Ovis aries: one gene and its partners. The protein of the gene in region 2 purifies or fractionates together with the protein of the main gene of each other region. This does not show direct contact. Links are inferred from orthologs where the notes say so. Each region holds a gene or a part of one and is shown on either strand. Other genes may lie near its edges. The genes, in order: DROSHA, DDX17, HDAC2 and DHX9.

Region 1 (5,875 bases), on a different chromosome or scaffold from region 2:
TTTTTTTTTTTTCTCTCAATAGTAATAATAAGAGACTCTAGTCCTTCAAAACAACTAGATAAAAACAGACCAAGAATTACTGTAACGAAACGATCCAGTCACAAAAGACAAATATGGTGTGCCTCTACTTATATGAGGTACCTAGAGCAGTCAGATTCATAGAGACAGAAAGTAGAAGGGTGGCTGCCAGAGGCAAAGACAGACAGGAGAGGGGAGCTGGCCTTTAATCTGGACAGAGTTTCCAGTTTAGCAAGAAGAACAGAGTTCCAAAGGTTGTTTATACAATATGAATGCATGTAACACACTACAGAGCCACGCATTCAAAAATGGCTAAGTAGTATATCTTATGTGTATTATGCACACGTTATTTGTATTCTACTACAATCAAAAAAGAAAAAAAAAAAGACCTAGAACTTGGAGTGATCCTACGAGAGATTAATGCAGTACAGCGTGGTAAGAAGGAGCCCTTACACTGTTGCATTTTCAAGTGTACTACGTGAGATGGGTCCTGTCATTCCTCTTTTAAGGCAAGAAAATTGAGACACAGAGAAATCACATCACTTGCCCGAGATCACATTTCAAGTGGAACAAGGATTCAAACCCAGGCCAGCTGGTTCTGTTGTGCTTTTCCCCACCATGGACACTGCCTCTCAGCGAGGGAAACATAACAAAGGTGGGCAGATGAGAGGCAGATAACATGCAGGAAAAGGCACACCGAACGTCTCCTCTGCGTACAGCGTGTGTTAGGGGTAAGGACACAACGTGGTGAGAAGCACTGATCTCAGCACCTCCTTGGAGTCTCAGAATACGTATGTGAAAAGATGTAAGAAAGTGATGGAAGCTTTGTGAATAGAGAGAGAGCTTCAAACAGAGCTGGACTCTGGCTGGAGTTTCCACACCCTGGCAGTGGAGAGAGCCACAGGAAATGCCTGCCCATTAGATCACGAGGCATGGGAACAGGCTCCTGCTTTTGACAGGAGGCTGGACTGTGGTCCCTTCTGATTTTAGGACAGGAGTCTATGGGGACACAGTGGCCAGCATGCCTTGCAAATGAGAGATCTCTTATGTATTCTACTGAATATAACTAAGGGAAAAGAAAATCGAAAAGAAGAAAGTTACATTGCTATGTATTTGCTGACTGGAATTAAGGAAAATAAAATGGACATTAGGAAATTTTACTATGGGACTCTCAAGGACACATTCCAAAAGTCTGGTATTAAACAATAAAAAAAGAGCACAGGATCTCAGTCTAGTAACTTCTGACTCACCTAAATCTTCATCTAGCTTCGTCTTGGGAGGCTCCCATGGCGGTCTAGCAGCTTTGGCCTTCTCTTGCCTGCTCCCCAACTCTTCCTCAAATTTGTCATATAAGTCACGGAGCCTACTTGTTCCAACTACAGTAGAATCTCCCTTTGAAAAATAAAGGATCAATATTAGGAACTATATTAATAATAGTCATACCAGAGAGACTTAAGAACTCACCGATAACCAAAGATTTTAACAGCAAGATATCATTTTTCAACCCTCAATTTAACAAACATTTTAAACACAAAATGCCCAAAGTGCTGGCAATGATGCTCTGAATTGCACACACATTTATGGCTGACACAGTCCTCAGGTAAATGCACTTTGCCAACCCTTAGAAACGTTAGAAATCTTCATCTATGCCCTTTTGATACAACAACCAAAAAATCATAAATCCCTCAGAATTCATGACACCTGATACCCTCTTAGAGAACATATACCCCTCGCCTACTGAAATTTACTGATGGTGTGTATTCCACATTAACCCAGTGACCCACAAACCACACACGCACCCCATAAACACAGGGACACACACACACACACTCTTTACAAACACAGGGTTCTGCAATACATTCCTGGAGGAAGTTCCTCACTTTCCCTTACTCTCCTCCCAGGTTGAAAATCACTTTAAACACCCACCTGAAATGTACATTTGACATTTTCAAAAGGCACCTTTCCAACATAAAATGAATATTCAATCATGAAATCTGTAGTTATTCCCAAAAGAGGGTGTCTGCTTTCCTTAGCCCCACCTCATTACTGATACTGGTGATGCCGGGGTGGCTCTGACACTTAGGCCCTCTCTGCACCAGCAGTGCCCAAACAGAAGCCAGTGTTGGCCTTCTGGTTTATCAGCCTGCCTTAGACACTGGAGTTTTAACACACCCACAAGAAAGGTGAGGAAGAGCAAACGCTCTGCCCTTTAAATGCTCTGAGCCTCAGTGCCTTCAACAGTATTTCAATAATAATGATACCCCTGGGGAGCCATTCTCCCCTTCCCCCATGCTCACAGAACTGGGATTCCCTTCAGGTTTGGGGCAGGGAACTTGGCCACTGATGTCTCTATCCTAATCCCTGGAAAGTGAACATGCCACCTTTCAGTGCAGAAAGAACTCTGCAGACGCGATTAAGGCTACAGAATTTGAGGTGGGATTATCTGGGTAGACCCAACTGAATGTGAGTCTTTAAAAGTGGAGAGGCTCTCACAACAGCAGTCCGAGGTGCGACAGAAGAAGAGGCAAGAGATCTTTAAAGCATAAGAGGGACTCGACCCACGCTGCTGGCTCTGAAGATGAAGGAAGGGGTCCATGGGCCAAGGAATGCAGACGGGCTCCAGAAGCTGGGAACAGCCTGCCAGACAGCAAGCAGACAAGGGCCTCCATCCCACAGCCGTAAGGAACTGAACTCTGCCAACAACCTGAATGAGCAAGAAAACAGGTTGTCTCCAGAAAGGAGAGCAGTCCTGCCAGTACCTCGATTTAGCCAGTGAGAACCAAGTTTGACTTCCGATCTACAGAACTGTGAGCTAATAAATGTGCGGTATCTTAAGCCATGAATGAAGTCTGTGGAGATGGGTTATGGCAGAGATGGAAAATTAATCCATTAAACACAATTCTGGGTGAAAGGATGGAAGAAGAGATCCCCGGGCACCCTGGGCTCCACCCAGTACTGCCCTCTGCATCTGTGTCTGGGCAGAGGTATGTACGGACACGATGCCTGGGGCTCCCGTGGGCAACCTACAACAGTGGTGGATCCTCCGGAAGACAGTAATACCCACCTACGGCCCTGCCATCACTAAGGCACTAAATACATACCAGCCACCACCTCCCTCCAGATGGCTTGTCAAGGAAAACAAACCCAGCAAGCTTAACCACGATCAGTTAAGTATTCTCATTTACAACAACATTCTGAAGTAACAGATGCCTTCTTTCCAGGGATGTTTTAAGAATTCAGGGAGGTAATCTGAGACACGTGGAGCAGTTTCACCAACACGGCTCCAGGTACGAGCTTCTCCTTGCCTATGTCACCTGAACTATGACTTAAGACCCTGCTTTTCTTTATCAAGTAAAATATCATGCCAACAAGAGAGACCTCTCAAACCTTTTTGCCAGAGACGACAGTCTCCTCTCAAGCTCAACATAGGTAAGGGCCCAGTCCAAGTTGAAGCTGTTTTTACAAAATTCCAAACAACAGAATGCTCTCTTATCTACCCCACCCACTAAATCTAAAATCTCCAGGCTCTTCTGTCCTAAATCTGTACGTATCCCTTCCTTCACTCATTGATTTCATCAGTGAACATGACTGTGTGTCCCTGCTATGGCAAATACACCTAACTTAATGGGGATGGAGGCATAGTGCCTGTTAGGGGAGAGAGAGAGGAAAAAAAAAAAAAAAAAAGGCGGGGGGAGAGTGATGGAAAATAAAATGGAGATGGAAGAAAGAGGAGAAGCGAGCACACAGAGGTCATGGGGCCCCCAAGGCAACAAGGCACGGCTGCTGAGCCCCAGAAGCCCCATTGTGAGCAGCACATGTGCTGACTCTCCTGAGAACCCATCCAAGGTGACGACACTGCGACTCCACAAAACCAGCAACCAGCACGGGAAATCTGCTATGGGTACCTTTGGTCACGGGCAGACTTGCAAGAGACAAACTCAATTTTCCCTTGTTTCTCATTTTGAGGGAAACACACACACACACACATACAGATACAGAAGGCATAACATAGCTATGAGTGAGAGCTTACAAGACCACCAGCATCAAGACTAGCAGTGGCGTCAAAAATCAGAATGAAGAGATCCTTTCATACACCTACGGCACTCTTGCCTTTTGGAAAGCAGCTTTTGTCTACAGCAGTGGTTCTCAACCAGGGGGAGGGGCGTTCTCTCACTCCCCAGGGGACACTGGGCAACGTCAGAAGACAGCCTCGGTTATCACAGTCACGAGGGTGCTACTGGCATCCAGTGCACAGAACCCAGAGATGCTGCTCGACATCCAACCATGCACCGGGCAGGCCCCACCACAGGGAACTATCCAGCCCAAGACGCCAACAGCGCCGAGCTTGAGGAGCTCTGCTGCTGCCGCTGCTAAGGCGCTTCAGTCGTGTCCGACTCTGTGCGACCCCAAAGACGGCAGCCCACCAGGCTCGGCCATCCCTGGGATTCTCCAGGCAAAAACACTGGAGTGGGGTGCCACTGCCTCCTCCATGAGGAGCTCTAGTCCACAGCTTCTCTCCTACCACAGACCTACCACCTGGTCCATGGGGTCACTGGAGTAGTAATTTTCTGAGTGGGTGCAGCGAATCCACACGGGCTTAAGGAGTTCTTCCTCCTCCTCCTCGTTTTTGTCAGGCAGCGCCTCCTCGGGCTCCTTTTCCTTGATGGAGGTATAATTCTTCTCTTTGCCAGAGCCCTGGATGTCACTCCACCTGTCTTTTTCTTCCTCCCAGCGAGCTCTCTTCTTCTCCCTGCTTGGGGAGCGACTTCAAAAGGGGGCAAAGGGAGGCTATTAAAAATGTTCTTTTCTTGTAAAACTTTTCTATTTCACCTGTTTAGCTCATTTGTCACCTAAAAGGAAAATGTCATGCCAAACCAATATATTCATTTGCATGAAAAACCAGTGACCCCCTGACACCGGTCTGCTGACATCAGAATCACCTGAAGTTATTTGTTTAAAAATACAAATTCCCAGGCCCTACCCCAGATCTACTTACTGATTCACAGTCTCCAGGGGTGGGGCCCAAGATTCTGTATTTTTATTAATCTCCCCAGGTGATTCTGGTGTGCATACGGCAGGTTCAGGAGCAACTGGCCAACCATAACTCCTAGAATAGAAAGATCTCTGGGAAATATATGGACATCTCCATCTATAGACGATCTCAGCATTGAGCACACTAATTCTGAATTCTCCACATCTCACTTTGCCAAGAGAAAAAAAAAAAGTCTTCACAAAACATGATCTCCACTTAGCCATAAATTTAGCCTGAGGACCAAAATCCTAGAGTGAACCAGTTATACCATCCCTCACCATTTCTCTGGAAGCCCCTACTTGGGTATTACTGCTTAATGAACCACCAAGTCACCTAATTCTGATCCCCACAATTACTAATAGTAACTCAATTAAAAAGGAAAAAAGCAATTCTATCTCCTTGAATCGCTGGAGCATGAAATTTGCAAAGGCTCAGCGTATCGATGTGCTTGGAGGGAAAAACCCATAGGATAGATTTTTAAATTAAGCCCAGAACATTTCAGTGGAACCGTACAGACTTGGAGAATCCAGCCAAGGAGACAGACTGTGATGTGGTGCCAGCTCGGCAGCTCTACTAACAAAGTCACTCTTACCCAAGAAAGTCTACATCTGGGTCAAAGTCACAAGTAAGCTTCTCCATCAACTCTATCACTCATTTCTAATTTTACAGCAGGGAAAATCTAAGTATAGGTGTGTATACAACAGGGGGAAAACAGTGAGTGATTAGGAGTATATATATTACTTATTGATGCAACTTCTAAATATTACAGTGTACATCAAGAGGTTTGTTACTAGAAAAAAATATTTACTGTGAAGTAAAATGTAT
Region 2 (5,875 bases):
GTAAACTAACAGATGACAAGACCAGAATACAAGGGAATGGCTAAAATTCGAGGTACTCATTGGTATGATGGGGATTCTAAACTTGAGATAGGCACATAGAAGCTATCAAAATACTGATAATATTATTTCTTTACCATGGATGTTTTATATTTACCATATATATGCTTTAATAAGAAAAGGTTTATTATCTGAAAGGCAGAAAAAGTGAATTGCTGATCCATACTTAGTTTATCCCATATTGACTCTTAAGTATCAGATATTAAGAAAAGACTTAAATAATGTTTCAAACAAAATGGCACTTTCGTAAAGTCTGTGCCCTAACTCCACCTTTACTATGAGATTTCTTTTGTTATTTGAATTGCTATTCTTTTGTTCTTAAATGTACAGAGCTGAAGTGGATTATTTTGAAAGGGGACTGAGTGAGGTAGTGTATATACATGTACAGTCCAAATGCATTGTACATGATTCTGCATGTTAATGTGTAAATCTTTGAAAACTGGCATTTATTGCAAATCAAAATTAATACTCAAAAACATTAAGGAGCAGCATAGTATGCAAGGGGTTAGGATATATGGATATTTAAATGATTATACAAATGCACTCAGGTTCTACAAGAGGAAAGGCTCTATTGGATATTGTAGTCAACCTTATAAAGGTGGTAGAAAGTGTATTTTTTTAAGAATCCCATGTTTCAAATTACAATATATCTTTAGAGAAGGATGATATGTCTTGGTTAAATAGCCAAGGCAATAGGGGAAAAGGAAAAACTTTGAAAAATAAGGGCTATCTTGATTAAGTCTTGGACATTTTTTTCAAAAGTTCTGTTTTCTTCTAGGTTGTTAATTTTAAGTTCTGAGTAATATTGGAGTGCAGCAGCAGCATTGAAATGGCATTTTTTAGGAACCACGTATGTTGTTGTTCAGTCACTAAATTGTGTCCAACTCTTTGCAACCTTGTGGGCTGCAGCACACCAGGCTTCCCTGTCCTCACTATCTCCCAGAGTTTGCTCAAATTCGTGTCCTTTGAATCAGTGGTGCTATCCGACCATCTCATCCTCTCTCTCCCCTGTCTGCTGCCTTGGATCTTTCCCAGCATTAGGGTCTTCTCTGAAGAACCACATAATTAGGCAGCCAACCTCTGAAAGTTAGTCTTTGGTCATTTTTCTTTGCAAGACTGACAGTTTAAAGACTTGGCTTTTTTATTTGTAGAGAACCTTATTTATTGATAGAACTGTGTTAGTTACTTCACCTAAGAGGGAGGGAGGAGGGGTCAGTCTCCTATTTGGTCTTAAGCCTAAGGACGTATTGAAGGTGTTGATTGGTATTGATCAACAGTAATATAAATAGAATCTGCCAAGTTCTGTCTTTTTGAATGTAAATACGTAATGGTCCCAAATTTCCTGCCATCAGTTTTTGTATATTTGTATTTAGAGAAATATCTAGCTGGCTCTTTAAGCCGAGAAATTTTAAGAGCATTTTGAGTTCCAGGAAATTGATGTGCTTTAGAATGGTTAGTACATCTGCTGCCTGTTGAGTAGTAAACTAGTGGAACCACTTGTAAGATGATGTTATGAATGAATTAGAGTAGAAAAGGAGAATTAAATTTGGTGTAGTGGTTAAGGAAATGGGATGAAAACATTGTGTATTTGTACACCAAAACAATGTCCTGCATTTTTAATAGGTTGAAATACAGAAATGAAGACCATCTTAGGATTCTTCTTAGGAAACAGAACATTTCAAGTTTGGCTAATGGCCATATTTGTACTCCAGTTGAATTTGTTTGTTGTGAAAGCAAGATAAAGCGAAAAGAATGATTTTTAAATTGTTTTAAAGACCTTAGATAACTTTTTCTACCTGTCCATAGTTTTGCCCTAATTTAAACTTAATGTCCTCACTTAGCTTCATTTCAGAATATTACATAAGAGTAGCAATTTCTGTTCACGTTAGTATTTCTGCTGCTGCGTCGCTTCAATCGTGTCCAACTCTGTACAACCCCATGGATGGCAGCCCACCAGGCTCCCGCGTATTTCTAGCACCACTTTATAGTTGATACCCAGTAACTATTTGTTGAATGAATACAATTATGTCAATTTGTACTGTTTACTATGGCAGATACTATTTTAAGTACTTTACACAAATATTTTTTGGAGGGGGCTGGTAGTATCTTAAGAGTTGTATCTTTTTGCATGTTTTTATGGCACCTGAAATATTTTGCTTTAAAAATACTAATAAACTGAAAATTTTGATGTTTCTAGATTTGGAGCAAGAGGTGGTGGTGGCCTTCCCCCAAAGAAATTTGGTAATCCTGGGGAGCGTCTACGTAAAAAGAAGTGGGATTTGAGTGAGCTCCCCAAGTTTGAGAAGAATTTTTATGTCGAACATCCAGAAGTGGCAAGACTGACTCCAGTAAGTTTTAGGGGCGGTATTTATTTACCTTTTCTTGACGTACAGTAATGAACCAAGTAGATAAATTAGCCAAAGTTTACTCATACATATATATATATATATATACACAAAGTTTACTCTTGTATTTTTTATTCTGGTGTGGTGGGGATTTTTCTTTGGTTCTTGTTAGGAAAGCTGATACTTGTAAGAGAAAGCACTTGATTCTCATACGTTGGTTATATTTCATTTAACTGTTCTCATGTGGAAAATGAAACCTACTGCATGCTTCGTTGACTTAGAAAGTTGGGTGAAGTTGAACATACATGAAAAACACTGTAAGAAGTGTTAAACATATTTTCCATTGTAATTGTGAATTTGATCCTTGTTATGCTATATTGGAACATAAAGTTTTGCACGTTTAGAATAAATTGGTTACTGATTTGTCTTACTTTGTTTCTTAAATAGTATGAGGTTGATGAATTACGCCGAAAGAAAGAGATTACAGTGAGAGGGGGAGATGTTTGTCCTAAACCTGTGTTTGCCTTCCATCATGCTAACTTCCCACGTAAGTGCTTTTCAGTCCAGTATATTAATTGTTAATTTAGCTTGAATGGTCACTGTGCTCATAAGTTATTTAAAGGTTTTGACCCAGCTCAGGATTTTGTTGAAAAGACAAACAGAAACCTTTCACAAAAGTTCTTCAAGTATTTTGGCAGGGGGAGTTGTCTTTTTAATGCTCATGTGTTCTCAGTTTAGAACTTCTTTGGGTCTTTTGCAGGGTTTTTTGTTTGATTGGTTGGTTGGTTTTCATCTTTCCTTGGGGTTTTGCCTCTACATTTCAGAAAAATAGCAAAATAAAATTGCTTTCTACCTGGATAAAATTTGGATTAGATAAGCAGTAGGTGGCTATTAGGTGCCCATGCCTTGTACCTTAGATACTTTAGACCAATGGTTTTCAAGTTTTCGAGAATAAGGGTAGATGGCTATGGCAGTAGCCTTCTTGAGAAGTAGTCAGCAGGTCAAATAACTGAATTTCAGTAACTGAAGACAAAACTACTGCTTCTCTTGGAGAGATGTATAATTTGTTTTGGCTGTAGGTTCGCTTCTTAGTTTTACCTAAAAGCAATAATATCTGTTCTTGTACAGAATACGTAATGGATGTGTTGATGGATCAGCACTTTACAGAACCAACTCCAATTCAGTGCCAGGGATTTCCCTTGGCTCTTAGTGGCCGAGATATGGTGGGCATTGCTCAGACTGGCTCTGGGAAGACGTTGGCGGTATGTACCCACAAGGGAAGACTTTTCATATTGTGGTAACTTATTTTGCTGTTGTATATTAACATATATTCTCAGTGCATAAAATTCTAATTCAAATAGTGGAAGTAATATTTCAGCTTTTTAGCTATCTGAAATATGTGGAAGCATTTTATGTTCATATTTGCGTTGCATATATATGTAAGAGATGTGAATTCTGTTTTCCCTTTCCTGGTTTTACTTAGACATTATCAATTACTGTGATAACTTAGAACAGTTAATATAATGGCTTAGTTTTGGTATAAGACTGTCCTTCTTTTCTCCTCCAGTATTTGCTACCTGCAATTGTTCATATTAACCACCAGCCTTATTTGGAAAGAGGAGATGGCCCAATTGTAAGTGTATTTCAGTTTGTGTATACTTCGAAAAATAACTACAGTTTATTATTATGTTTCAGGCACTGTACTTTACATGTGTTCTCAGATTTCATTCGCAACCCCACCTTCCATATCTGGAGGAAATACTGTCTTACTGGTAAATCTTAGGCACAGTGACTTGCCCAGGGTCAGACAGTAATTAAATTGCTGAGCTGGAATTTGAATCAGTCTTCCTTTTAACTACTGTGCCTGTTACCTTCATATGTAGGCATTTAATACAGATGCATTGCTTAATTGCCCATTGATACTATGAGGGATACAAAGGTGTAAAATGAGATTCTTGCTCTGTGGATATAAGTCAGGTTTGGGATGTTTATTTTTTGTGTTTAAGTAATGCTTTTGTAAATGTTCATAGACGAGCACCATTTTCTGGTTTGATCATTTTCAGTTAATGCTATTTACTGTAAGATTTCAGTAGTGGTCTTCAAACATTTTGAATGTACTTTCTTAACATTTTTTTAATAGAGCTTGCACTCACTATATGTTTATAAATATGTACATTATACAGTATGTCTTAATGCTTCACAACAAGAAGTAGTGCATTTATTTTTTTTAATGTATTTCATATGGCTAACGGAGTTAGCAATATTATCATTAACTAATGTCTAATGGATTGATATACCAAGTGAGTTATTGTTACCAGCATATATGATTCCTGTTTCAAAGTGTCTAAATTTTATTTGACCAACTTCTTGTCACATTGTGTATAAATGTGTTTTTGCCAGATTTGCCTGGCCAAGAGCTTGAGCTAGATGTCAGAAAAATGTCAGCTCTGCTCTTTTCTTGTTCTGATAATTAAGTAAAGTTTGAGACTTACCTGGTTTTGTTACAGGAATATTGTAGCTACTTACTCATTTTGTGAGTTGTTTAGTTAAAACTAGGTAATACAGTCTATAAATCTTATGTAGCACACGTTAATGAATCGTATCCAAAGTCAGCCATCATACTACATGGCAAATATTAGTTCTCAAATTGGATTGACCAAAAGATTCATTCAGGTTTTTCTGTAAGATGTTAGGGATATAATTTTTAGCCACATTACAGTGCAATATCTTACACCTATTGCCTTCCCAGTCCCCTACCCCAGATTAGACAATAGAGAATTAAGTAACCTTTTTGTACTTTTTTTGTTCCCCTTAAACTTGGGGTGGTGTCTCAAATGATTTGTTTGCTTTAGTGTCTAGTTCTGGCTCCTACCAGAGAGCTTGCCCAGCAAGTACAGCAAGTGGCCGATGACTATGGCAAATGTTCCAGATTGAAGAGCACTTGCATCTATGGAGGTGCTCCTAAAGGTCCCCAGATTCGAGATTTGGAGAGAGGTAAGAAAAAAAGAGCATTTAAGAATTTTTAGTTTTATTTTACCAGGTTTTGTAAATGAAATAGAACAGGAAAATAGTGGACTCTGGTGGGGTCGGGGGGATCAGTATTTTAGTAGCTTAGAAATTCTCGAATACGGTTAAAATGCTATTTTAGGGAAGTCCAGTGTGGTTGGAGACTTAACGGGGTTTTTATACATAAATTCTTGTTGCTAAGTCACTTCAGTCGTGCAACCCCATAGACGGTAGCCCACCAGGCTCCCCCGTCCCTGGGATTCTCCAGGCAAGAACACTGGAGTGAGTTGCCATTTCTTTCTCCAATGCGTGAAAGGGAAAGGTGAAAGTGAAGTCGCTCAGTCATGTCCAACTTAGCGACCCCATGGACTGCAGCCTACCAGGCTCGTCCATTCGTGGGATTTTCCAGGCAAGAGTACTTGAGTGGGGTGCCATTGCCTTTACGTCATGTTTTTTCCAGGTACTTG
Region 3 (5,875 bases), on a different chromosome or scaffold from region 2:
AATAATGGTTAGGCTAGTACCTTCTTTTCTAGTACCCTCTTTTCTTTTTTAAACTTTTTATTTTGTACTGGGGTATAGCTGATTAACAATGTTGTGAGTTTCAGGTGAACTGTGAAGGGACTCAGCCATATATATACATAGCCATTAGTTTCTGAACCTTCACTATATAAGAATCAGAACTTTACCATTTTAATAAAAATTAACAAAATAGTAAGAGTAACACTATCCATTCAAGATCATTGAAACAAATTAGCCAAAATGTGCTAAATTTTTTCTTTAGATAAACCAATGAACCAAAGTTGTGAGGCACTGATTATAATACAAACATAAAGCAATATGTTTATTATGACATTTGTTTTGGCTTCTGGCTTAATTTTAGATATGTAAACAAAAGTGCCAAGTGGGGTTTGGGGAGGGATGAAGAGCAAAGAAATATTCCTAACTTTAGGTTCTGAACTATAGACTTTTAAAATTGTTTTCTATGGTAGTATTTCTTTCATCTGTATGTTGCAAGATTTTAACAAATGTAAGACACTATAAGAATTTCATTATTAAACTAGGAAATTTAAGTATCAATTATTATCAGCAACAGAAGTATTTAGGAACTAAATACTGTGAGATTAATCCACCACCAGGCCATTAAAGCCAGATCAAAAGGCACTCTCATTTTCAGCTAAAACAGCAATGTGAGATAAGTACTCTAGTACACCCACTTTCCCATTTGGAAGAAAAAGCATACAAAGATAAACGTTTAAAAAGCAAGAATAAATGCCAGAAAAGAAGACAAACAAACAAACAAAAAATACAGAAAACTCAAATTGACAGAGAAAAGAAAAATACTAGAAAAATCCTACAGCTAAAGGTTTAAGTCCTTCTTACCTCAATCATAGCTAGAATTTCTGGATGTCAATCAGTACACAAGAGCAGACTGGAGCCATCATTGTAATACATTGTGAAGTTAAAATTATAAAATGATAGACAGAGAACAGTAGCCTATAGTGGAGTCAATCCACAAACAAAACAGAACTAGATGTGCAGACATGCTACAGATTCCGAACCCTCTCTAGCAAAAAAAGAATATGAGAGCCAGCTTACTCACATAACTTCAATAGGATAGAAAAAGGGTGTTAGCCCAGTACCTCTGAATCTGTTTTCCACATGCTACAGGGTAAAAATTAATAGGTCAACTAAAACCTCCTCACTGTTACCTGCATATAGGTAGCAGGTATCCAGCAGGAAATGCACCAAATACAAGAATCCAGGTATTTAAGATACTGCATTCTCTAGCCACGAGCAGCTCAATCTAGCAGGGAGATAAATCCCTTCCCATCTTTCCACAGCTTTTATGTTTCTTTCAAATAATAACAAAGTCTGTTCTCTGAGCCTTTTCAAAATGGGGAAACTGGTCTAAGGTTATATAATGTGAGTCTTCTTTTATGCTTTATTCTCATCAAATAAACTTACAGGTAGTTACAAATTAGCTTAGAATTTTGGCTCTGCTCATGGGCTACATGTGGGTCTATAACCACTTTGTTCTCTCTTACTCAGTCTAGATCACAGTGCAATGTTCAATATTTTAAGCCTCTGTTGCCAAAAAGAGATAGTTTCCTGTACTGTAAAAGCAAATGTGACTAATAACATTTAGAGAGCTTTAATTAAAAGTTTACTTACGTGGGGGGAAAAAAAGTCACCTATTTATTTAGCACACTCACCTATTTCTGATACTCATGTAAGTATTTCAGGATCTTATAAAAACTGCCTGGTTGCTCACTTTCAAAAACTTACAATTAAAACATCTATAAAAAAATAAATCTGACCTGTTTTTTTGTCCTCCGTTTCCTTCTTGTCTTCTTCGATTCTAGCTTTTTTTGCTCCTTTCTTATGATCAGTCACATTTCTACGGCCGCCTTCTCCTTCGTCCTCAGAATCTGAGAACTCTTCATCACAAGCTATTCGTTTGTCTGATGCTCGAACTGACACATTAAAAGATTTTTAATAAAATTTAGACAAAGGCTTTACAACAGGTTTTACAACTGTTAAGTGTACGGCTCTATAGAAGAACTAGCCGGTCATATTTAAAAGTAAGGATAACAGATTTTAAGATTACAACAAAGCGTGGCTTGCTAAACACTGAAACTTTAGCTTTAATCTAGGAAGAAATAATTCAAAGGAATATGAAGAATATTAGAGGTTCTCATTGGAAAAAAAAAAAAAAAACTTTGGAGGAAAAAAATATTGCTTTCCTGATACGAAGTAGGAGTGATATCTTTAAATAAAAAGTAACATTTCAGAGCTGAGAGGGGAAGAAAAGAAAATAAGAAATAACATTTATGTCAATTATGTTAGAATGTCTATACCATAATAGCATACTATTAGGCTAAAAGCCTACAAATCATATTAAGTGGAATTAGATTGTAGAATCAAACAGAAGGTGCTTAATGTTATTCAACTTACTCTACACCTAAGTGGTTAATTTGTAGAAACTGAAATTGCTGACACTCAAATCAGGCTCTGAGACAAAGAAAGTTAAATCTACACAGGATTAAAAAAATTGTGAAAATAAAGACAGTAATAATAGTGTGCTCATGAAAACAGGTGTAGTTCTTGGGCAACCAAAACCTTCAGTCTGTAGTATGCTTTTAATAAACCTGAAAAATGTAACAGAATACACATCAAAGGACTATCTTACTAGAAATTCTCTTGTCTGGATCTTCTCCATCTTCATCTCCACTATCTTCATGAACTGCATCTTCTGGAATAGCTTGCATCTGGACGCCAGGTGCATGAGGCAACATGCGTAAATTTTCAAATAAACGCTGTCTAAATTACAACATGCACAGTTATTAGAAAAAAATATTTTCTTTCAAGTTCCTTTCCAATGTTAAGAGGAAACATTAAGCAAAATAAATCGCATCTTTTACCTAGTTTAACCTAAGAATTAAAATTGTAACATTTACTGGGTACTGATACTTTATCTATTAGTAACCTGTTTAATTCTCAAAATTTACAAGGTAGATACTAAATTTCATCCCCCATTTCAAGGATGAGGAAATATAAGCACAAAGGCAAATTAACCTGCCAAACTTCATGGAGTTAGTGTGTGGTAAAAGAGGGCACAAACCCAGACCTGTGTACTAACAATGTCTCTCCAGACTCTATTTCTTAGAGAAAGGTTTATCAAATGTTTCAATGAAAATAAATTTCACTTTTGTGTAAAGCAAGAAAATATACAACTTATAGTGCCCTTTTCAACAAAAAAGTCCATTTTAACTAACAGAAAATGGAAGTATTTTTGAGCTATGAATCTATTATACATTTTCCATTATTTTATAAAATTAAAGAAACCAACAATCTTAAGGTTTCAAATACTTTTGACAAAAGGAAATACCTTACGTATAAAGTTAAACTGACCTACTGCACATGACCTTCTAAAAGCTTCAAAAGTCACATTAATAATGTTAATCAAATCAATTTGATGATGCCTTACTTTATCTTTTCCATATATTCTGGAGTGTTCTGGTTTGTCATGTTTGAAGGACTAATATGCAGTTTGAAGTCCGGTCCAAAATACTCAAAATAATCATTATATGGCAATTCTATTAAAAATAATGAAATAAAGTTACATATTAAAAGCTCAATCCATACACAAAATCCAGACTCAAGCTGTAAAATATTTCCAGAGAAAATATTTAAAAGTGAATATGAAATGAGTTTAGTGACTGCTCTCCTATTTACACAGTTTTGGAATCAACTCTAATGACGTAACCATCTTTTTCTACAAACTGACAGCTCATCCAATAAGACATCATATAAGAACACTTACCATTGGGAATCTCACAATCAAGGGCAACTGCAGTCTCATATGTCCAACACCGAGCAACGTTGCGGATTGTGTATCCACCTCCCCCAAGCATCAGTAATGGTAAATTGAAAGTTTTTACAACTTCTACACATTTAGCATGACCTAAGACAAAGAAGATTTGGGTAACAATATATTTACACACTGTAACAGCTGGGAAAGAAAAATTTAAAAAGATAACAAACAAAATTTTACTCAACCAAAATAGCTTTTCTAATATTTAAAAAACAAATAATACGTAAAAATTTTAAGAAAATTTCTAGTCTAAACTTTCATCGAACACCTTTTACACAATATACAAAACTCATTAAGTAGACATAACTGGCTATGTTAACAAGCGTCCTTGATGGAAAAGTCAAATCTACAACTATATTAAGATTAACATATAAATATAACACATTTTTATTAATGTGATATGAAGATCCTATGCTCTTATAAGGTTACTTGGGGGAAAAAAAAAGTGAGGTTACAATGAAACATTAAGTACAACCTAATCTAAATGATGTTTTGTCACCACTTTCCTCCATAGACATGAACAAAAAAATTACGTAAGACTATACAGGGTTCAGTTCAGTTCAGTTCAGTTGCTCAGTCATGTCCGACTCTTTGCGACCCCATGAACTGCAGCACGCCAGGCCTCCCGGTCCATCATCATCTCCCGGAGTTCACTCAGACTCACGTTCATCGAATCCGTGATGCTATCCAGCCATCTCATCCGCTGTCGTCCCCTTCTCCTCCTGCCCGTAATCCCTCCCAGCATCAGTCTTTTCCAATGAGTCAACTCTTCACATGAGGTCGCCAAAGTACTGGAGTTTCAGCTTCAGCATCATTCCCTCCAAAGAAATCCCAGGGTTGATCTCCTTCAGAATGGACTGGTTGGATCTCCTTGCAGTCCAATTGACTCTCAAGAGGCTTCTCCAACACCACAGTTCAAAAGCATCAATTCTTCGGCGCTCAGCCTTCTTCACAGTCCAACTCTCACATCCATACATGACCACTGGAAAAACCATAGCCTTGACTAGACGGACCTTAGTTGGCAAAGTAATGTCTCTGCTTTTGAATATACTATCTAGGTTGCTCATAACTTTTCTTCCAAGGAGTAAGCATCTTTTAATTTCATGGCTGCAGTCACCAACTGCAGTGATTTTGGAGCCCCAAAAAATAAAGTCTGACACTGTTTCCACATCTATTTCCCATGAAGTGATGGGACCAGATGCCATGATCTTCGTTTTCTGAATGTTGAGCTTTAAGCCAACTTTTTCACTCTCCTCTTTCACTTTCATCAAGAGGCTTTTAGTTCCTCTTCACTTTCTGCCATAAGGGTGGTGTCATCTGCATATCTGAGGTGATTGATATTTCTCTGGGCAATCTTGATGTCAGCTTGTTTCTTCCAGTCCAGCGTTTCTCATGATGTACTCTGCATAGAAGTTAAATAAGCAAGGTGACAATATACAGCCTTGACGTACTCCTTTTCCTATTTGGAACCAGTCTGTTGTTCCATGTCCAGTTCTAACTGTTGCTTCCTGACCTGCATACAGATTTCTCAAGAGGCAGGTTAGGTGGTCTGGTATTCCCATCTCTTTCAGAATTTTCCACAGTTTATCGTGATCCACACAGTCAAAGGCTTTGGCATAGTCAATAAAGCAGAAGTAGATGTTTTTCTGGAACTCTCTTGCTTTTTCCATGATCCAGCAGATGTTGGCAATTGGATCTCTGGTTCCTCTGCCTTTTCTAAAACCAGCTTGAACATCACGGAGTTCACGGTTCACGTATTGCTGAAGCCTGGCTTGGAGAATTTTGAGCATTACTTTACTAGCGTGTGAGATGAGTGCAATTGTGCAGTAGTTTGAGCATTCTTTGGCATTGCCTTTCTTTGGGATTGGAATGAAAACTGACCTTTTCCATAGGTTATTTTAGATAGTGGTATTATGGACACTTTTCTTAACTTATTTAAATTATTACTATTAAAAACAACTTTAACAAATTTCTTTGTATAGAAATTTAAATATAAAGTAA
Region 4 (5,875 bases), on a different chromosome or scaffold from region 2:
CCATTTCCTTCTCCAATGCATGAAAATGAAAAGTGAAAGTGAAGTCGCTCAATGTGTCCAACTCTTAGTGACCTCATGGACCACAGCCTACCAGGCTCCTCCGTTCATGGCATTTTTCAGGCAAGAGTACTGGAGTGGGGTGCCATTGCCTTCTCCTTCTTAGAGACTAGCATTACCAATTCAGCTGCTGTCCAAGCCAGAAACATGGTAGGATCTGTCTTCATTCCCTCACTACACTGCTCTCCCCATTTTAACCCATAACCAATACTTACTGACTCTATTGCAAATCTTTCTAATCTAGTTACTTTTCATTTCAATTCCCCTGACTCTAATTCAGACCACCATTTTATTCACACAACCTAACCTCTTATTTCTATCCCATCCTTACTAGTTTTGTCCTTCACAGAGCAGCTTGTATGCGAAGCCTTCTTGATCACCACCCCTTCCTGACAGAAGTTTTATCTCCTAAACATCTATGAGTACTGCATTTATACCATGCCTGGGACACGTATTTTCCATCTTTCTTTCTGAAGATTCTTTCTCAATTGTTCTATACAACTGACCTTGTGGGCAGACCACAGTCATGAGAGCACCATTTCAGGAGCCATCCTGTCTGCTTGAGAATTCAACTCTACCATTCACTAGCTGGAAGATCTTGGGTTTTAACTTCCCTGTGCTTAGTTTATTCATTTATATTAAAAGGGATAATGATCTACCTACATCACAGGTGGATCAAGTATTAAAGCAAGCGAATATCAGAAAAGCACTTAGCACAGTGTGCCACAGCTAAGTACTATGTTTGATTAATTCAAAGGAAAAGTTAACTCAGTTATAACCAAAATGGAATGCCAGAATCCATAAAGCACACAGCATTTCTGTATAGTAAGTTAACACTTTAAAACCAAATGCAGTTAAGTGATTTTTGATGGGGAGATTGAAAAATATTTTTGAATGACAAATTTTAATGACTGTATATTAGATACTATTATTTTAACACATTTTTGTGTGTGACTTATAGCTATGTTCTTAAAAGATACATGAAGCATACTAATGTAAAATGTCATAACACCTGCAACTGAATCACAAATGATTCAACAAAAGTATGTGTGTAATATATATATGTATCAAAGCAAGTGTCACAAAATGCTGACAATCATTGAAACCTAAGTTAACAGAGTTCACTGTACTACTGTTCTGCCTTTTCTACAGGTATCAAAAATTTTGAGAGTAAAAGGCAGTGGGCAAAGAAAATTTTTAAAGGTGAAAAAAAATGAGGCAATTAGAACACTTTAAAGATTAAACTCTGACGCTTTTCATTCGAAGCAGCAGCAATTTAAGCCCTCATCATTTTTCCTGTAGAGATGGCAAAGCAGTTGGGCCTGTCGCTTTTTTTCCTGTCATGGGACCTATCCTGGACTCCATATGTACTTCCAAGGTCTCTATCTTTAGCATGCACTGGTGTAACATATCATTAACACTCTTTCTCTGAATGTGTTAACCAGAACTAAACTTCATTTAGAATGTGTATATAATTTTAACTTAAATAACAAGGCCTCCATAAACTAAATGTAGAGTAAGATTACTGTCTCTTCTGCTTAGTTCAAAGAAAGTTACTGTGGTACCCACCGTGTAGTGCCAATCATAAGGTTGATACCAGCAGCTGAGGGCCGAGAGATCTGGCGGATTGTGTTCAGCATACGTTCATTAACAGGATCCAACTGGCTGATGATACCAGGCTGTTTGGTTACTTCAACAACCAGAGCCTCCATGGCTGCTCGAAGAGCAGTGATACAGGCAGCAGCTTCATGAGATATTTGCAATCTTATCCTAAATTAGGGAAAAATGATTAAAAATGAGAGGAGGTACACACAGAAAAAGACTATTATCTCCCAATTTCACCCATGGCAAGTGATGGGATAAATTTAACTTCTTTTCCAAATGTAATGGCCCTAGATTTAGCAAACACAGGTATGAAGAGTAACAATAAGTTAAACCAACTTCTTAAACTTCACTGCTAGCTACTGGCAGGAGTTGTGAACCATGAAGTCTACCAAGTGAAGTACGCTTAGCCATACAGATCACTTCAGCCTCCAATAAAAGAATGAAATGAGAGACTACTAACCATTAAGTTCTGTCCAATTCTGCCAAGTGCTTACTACACAGACACCACTTGTCTCTAAGCAATATGGAGTGTACATAAAAAAAGAGGCATCCAAATTCCAATTAGATTTTAACTCCTCAGTATGGTATTCACGGTGGTGGATGGGGCTCCAATGAGTAATGCAGCAGCCCCCAACCTTTTTGGCACCAGGAATCGATTTTTGTGGAAGAAACTTCTTCCAGACTGGGGTGGTGGTGGGGATGGTTTGGGATGATTCAAGTGCATTACATTTACTGTGCACTGAATTTCTATTACTACCACATCAGCTCCGCCTCAGGTCATCAGGCCTTAGACCCCAGAGGGTGGGCACCCCTGATTTACTGCATCTGCCTCTACAAGTATAATCAATTTGAGACTTCACTATCAGCTACAAATCGTAAGCCTAGGATATACTCCTCTAAGAAAAGACAGTGTTACACAACACATTGTTTATGCCATCGAATTCTGCCATATTTCACAAATAGATTAGCAGCTGAATTCCAGTACATTTCAATTCTAAGAATTCAGGTGAGTTCACATCTGAAAATCCATACCAGTCGTCTACAACCACAAGCTGTCCATCAGACATAACTTTCTTGGAGGCAAAAAGCAGCAGCTGCAAGGGGGTGACTAAGGTCATGCCTTTAGCAGAGATGGCCCGAGTTCGAATCTGAAGATAAAGAGGCAAGAGGAAAAAGTTGACATTCCAACTGTCAATCAACTACCATATAATAATAATGAACTAAAACCCATGTCCCCACTACACATTAATAAAGTAATCTGGATTTTAAATGTAGAAGTTTTCTAAACCTCCCTTTTCTTACCTTTTCACCAAATACAAAGAAGGGAGATGGGTACTTCATGTCTTGGCTGCTAAAAGGACAATTAACAGATGACTTGTGGATAAGTGCATTACGCCCTTCAGTGGTGAGAATCTTTCTCTTTTCCTTATGGTAACACACATTGGGGTACACACCAAAGGCCAGGAGAGAGATAACAACATCCAGATTATTGTCTGGTCCAGTGTTAGTAAACACTTGTGTCAGTAAACACTCTGTAAAGAGGAAGGAGAGTAAAAAAAAAAAATCAAGTATCTGGCTAATTCTAACATTGAATTTACCAAAATTAAATGACAATTATAAGAATTAACTCCTCCCTCATTCTCTTTTTCAAATAACCCATCTCACTGCCTCTGTTCTTAGCATTCTCGCACTCAGATTAATGCAAGGAGAAATTTTGCTGAGTCTTCACAATTTTAGTAAAATTAAAACATCTGTTTTCTTTTGTAGACACAACTAAGCTTGAAGTACTTAAAAACAAATGCCCCAATTAACCATCTCCTCTCAGATTAGAGCTAGACCGGTATGACCAGTATTTCACCTGCTGCTCTTAAAAAGCTGTTCCTTCTACAGAAGATGACCAAGAGGAACACACTAGAAAAACGCTGCTGTTTTCACCCAAAAAATGCTTTGTGCCCAGGCCATCACATGGAAAATATGATGGTAAGAGTGTGGATAAACTTTGTTCCAAAAAGCCTGTATACCAGTCTTATAAACTTCTGAACTGAATGAATGTGGACAAGTAATTTAAACCTCTGGCCAGCTGCCTAACCTGTAAAATGGAGGTCATATCTGCATCTCAGGAATTTTGTAAAGAGTCTATCATACAAAAATGTCCTATTTTCCTTTGATTTTTGAAAGTACAAATTTAGTCAGTTTACAACAGAAGAAAAATGTTTAGTTATTTAGATATGGCCCAGAAGGTAGTCCTTCTCTCTCTCAACTAGCTATTTCTGGTTATGTGTTCCAACTCTCAATATTTCAGAAAATTAACTCTGTCTCAATCTAGCTGGAGAAGTACAATTGTTCAAATTCACACAAGAAATGAACAGTTGGATTACTATTCCTATATCAGATATCAAAGTCCTCTATGATTAGCTATCCATTAAAACTTACTCAAAGCCAATTAAAATTTAATGCAATAGAGTTTACTTCACACCTAAGAATGAACAGATCAGCAAATTAACACATCACTTCAGAAACCACTACCTGAAGTAAATTCAACAAACTGCTCATTCTAGAAGTGCAAAAAGCTAGGCCTGTTTTTTTACAAAGTAAATGGATCAGAAATAAAAACACACCCTTCCACCTAAAAAAAGACAGTGATGTGTAACTGACTCATTTTGCTGTACAGCAGAGCCTAACACAACACTGTAAATCAACTACAATCCAATAAAAACAAAACCTCCTAAAGCAGCACAACTCTCAAAACATCTATTCATCATCTGTGTACAAAACTGTAATTTGAACATTATAACCTTTTGCATCCTTAAAAAAAATTCAATTAATGTGAAAAACTGATTATCACCAGAGTTCAAAAAACTAAGAAATAGCTAGGAATACAAAAAAAACAAAAGCCTTATGTTTAAAGCTAAAATATACTGGGACTGTCAATGTGAATGTTTAATATTAAGGTACTTTAGATATGAGAATCTTACCTTCTGGAAATCCAGAATTAATGAGAATCTCTTTGAGCTGAACTTTGGCTTCCCAGGTCATTCTTAGTGTTGCCATATTGAGTCTTTTGTGCTCACAAAAACGTATCTCGGCTTCTTCTCCACCCATTCTAAACAAACAGGTTAAGAAGTTATGCTCAAAGCCTAAAGAACTAGACACAGACTACAAACTAGACAGTTCATTCAAATCTTACAAATCTTTGTCTTTCAAGCCCATACCTAGCATCATCCCAAGCCTGGAATACTGATAAAAGGGCCACATGATCAGAAAATCGGTTTCCAGCAAAATTTCGATGGATATAACCCAGTCGCTTCCCTTCACTGATGAAAGGCTCTGGAAAGCAGGTGGCCGCAGAGATGGTGCAAATAGCGTCTCCCACACTGAAAGAGACGGGAAAACTCGGTCCAAACCACATTCTTGTTCCAGCAACTCGGCAGTACAGTCAATTGTGGGTCAGGGTATTAGCTATCATATGGCCTTTTTAGTACTGAAATTGGTTTAACAAATAATTTTACAGCTGCTCTCCAGATGCAAAAAGAAAAAAACAAAATGAGCTTTGATGTTAATGGATGCTTATTTACCATAAATTGACCAAGTATTATATTTTCCTTTCCCATTCTCCCTCATTTTACTAAATCTCTTCATCTTCAAAATTTGTGAACAAAATATACCTGTTTTCCTAACCTTTCTCTTTCTTGGATAGCTGCTTAACCTCCTAAAGGAAATGCACTTCTCTTGATAAATCTGTGCTCTTCGTCTCAACAAGTTAGGCCCAGGTATCCATCTACTACAACAGTTTCTTCTCATTTCACACTTTGCTCAGTATCTCAAGCATGCCACTTCTCTACTGAGGAATATTTAAGCTTTTTATTCTATGTGGGCCCATCCTGTTTCTACTGGGAGGGGGATGAAATTCTGAAACTGTTTTACCATTTAGCTGTAAGCAATAAAATAAAGCACTTACTAGAAAATACATCCCATTATCATCATTTTGCCAAAACGAGGCTCAATGGGGAGTTTAGCCAGGATGCGTCCTAGAGGAGTCAACTCATCATTGGCATCTAATGCATCAAGCTCTGTGGGGAGAGATTGCTTTGTGAGCAGAAACAGTAATGAATACCCCCTCAACCCCGGGAAAGATGAAACTTAAGTTTCAGATACTGACTGAAGTTTTCATCATTTGTCAAGCCAACTGCCAGCATCACGCCATATCAACAAT

Evidence for each region.
Region 1: the proteins of DDX17 (region 2) and DROSHA purify together in Homo sapiens (co-immunoprecipitation; 3 studies listed by IntAct, with this or other methods). This does not show direct contact. The link is inferred for Ovis aries from reciprocal best matches to the Homo sapiens genes DDX17 and DROSHA.
Region 3: the proteins of DDX17 (region 2) and HDAC2 purify together in Homo sapiens (affinity purification with western blotting; 3 studies listed by BioGRID, with this or other methods). This does not show direct contact. The link is inferred for Ovis aries from reciprocal best matches to the Homo sapiens genes DDX17 and HDAC2.
Region 4: the proteins of DDX17 (region 2) and DHX9 fractionate together in Homo sapiens (co-fractionation; 3 studies listed by BioGRID and IntAct, with this or other methods). This does not show direct contact. The link is inferred for Ovis aries from reciprocal best matches to the Homo sapiens genes DDX17 and DHX9.

Annotation. Positions count from the first base shown.
Region 1 is NC_056069.1:42,148,731-42,154,605, reverse strand, and holds part of DROSHA (ribonuclease 3), read right to left. Parts: intron 5,126-5,875; coding exon 5,015-5,125; intron 4,784-5,014; coding exon 4,552-4,783; intron 1,411-4,551; coding exon 1,269-1,410; intron 1-1,268. UniProt on the Homo sapiens protein: Ribonuclease III double-stranded (ds) RNA-specific endoribonuclease that is involved in the initial step of microRNA (miRNA) biogenesis.
Region 2 is NC_056056.1:216,000,118-216,005,992, reverse strand, and holds part of DDX17 (probable ATP-dependent RNA helicase DDX17), read left to right. Parts: intron 1-2,254; coding exon 2,255-2,405; intron 2,406-2,849; coding exon 2,850-2,949; intron 2,950-3,530; coding exon 3,531-3,664; intron 3,665-3,969; coding exon 3,970-4,035; intron 4,036-5,254; coding exon 5,255-5,396; intron 5,397-5,875. UniProt on the Homo sapiens protein: As an RNA helicase, unwinds RNA and alters RNA structures through ATP binding and hydrolysis.
Region 3 is NC_056061.1:23,759,974-23,765,848, reverse strand, and holds part of HDAC2 (histone deacetylase 2), read right to left. Parts: intron 3,965-5,875; coding exon 3,824-3,964; intron 3,597-3,823; coding exon 3,488-3,596; intron 2,821-3,487; coding exon 2,690-2,820; intron 1,974-2,689; coding exon 1,818-1,973; intron 1-1,817. UniProt on the Homo sapiens protein: Histone deacetylase that catalyzes the deacetylation of lysine residues on the N-terminal part of the core histones (H2A, H2B, H3 and H4).
Region 4 is NC_056065.1:63,381,461-63,387,335, reverse strand, and holds part of DHX9 (ATP-dependent RNA helicase A), read right to left. Parts: intron 5,733-5,875; coding exon 5,621-5,732; intron 5,037-5,620; coding exon 4,875-5,036; intron 4,766-4,874; coding exon 4,638-4,765; intron 3,195-4,637; coding exon 2,965-3,194; intron 2,811-2,964; coding exon 2,695-2,810; intron 1,828-2,694; coding exon 1,627-1,827; intron 1-1,626. UniProt on the Homo sapiens protein: Multifunctional ATP-dependent nucleic acid helicase that unwinds DNA and RNA in a 3' to 5' direction and that plays important roles in many processes, such as DNA replication, transcriptional activation, post-transcriptional RNA regulation, mRNA translation and RNA-mediated gene silencing.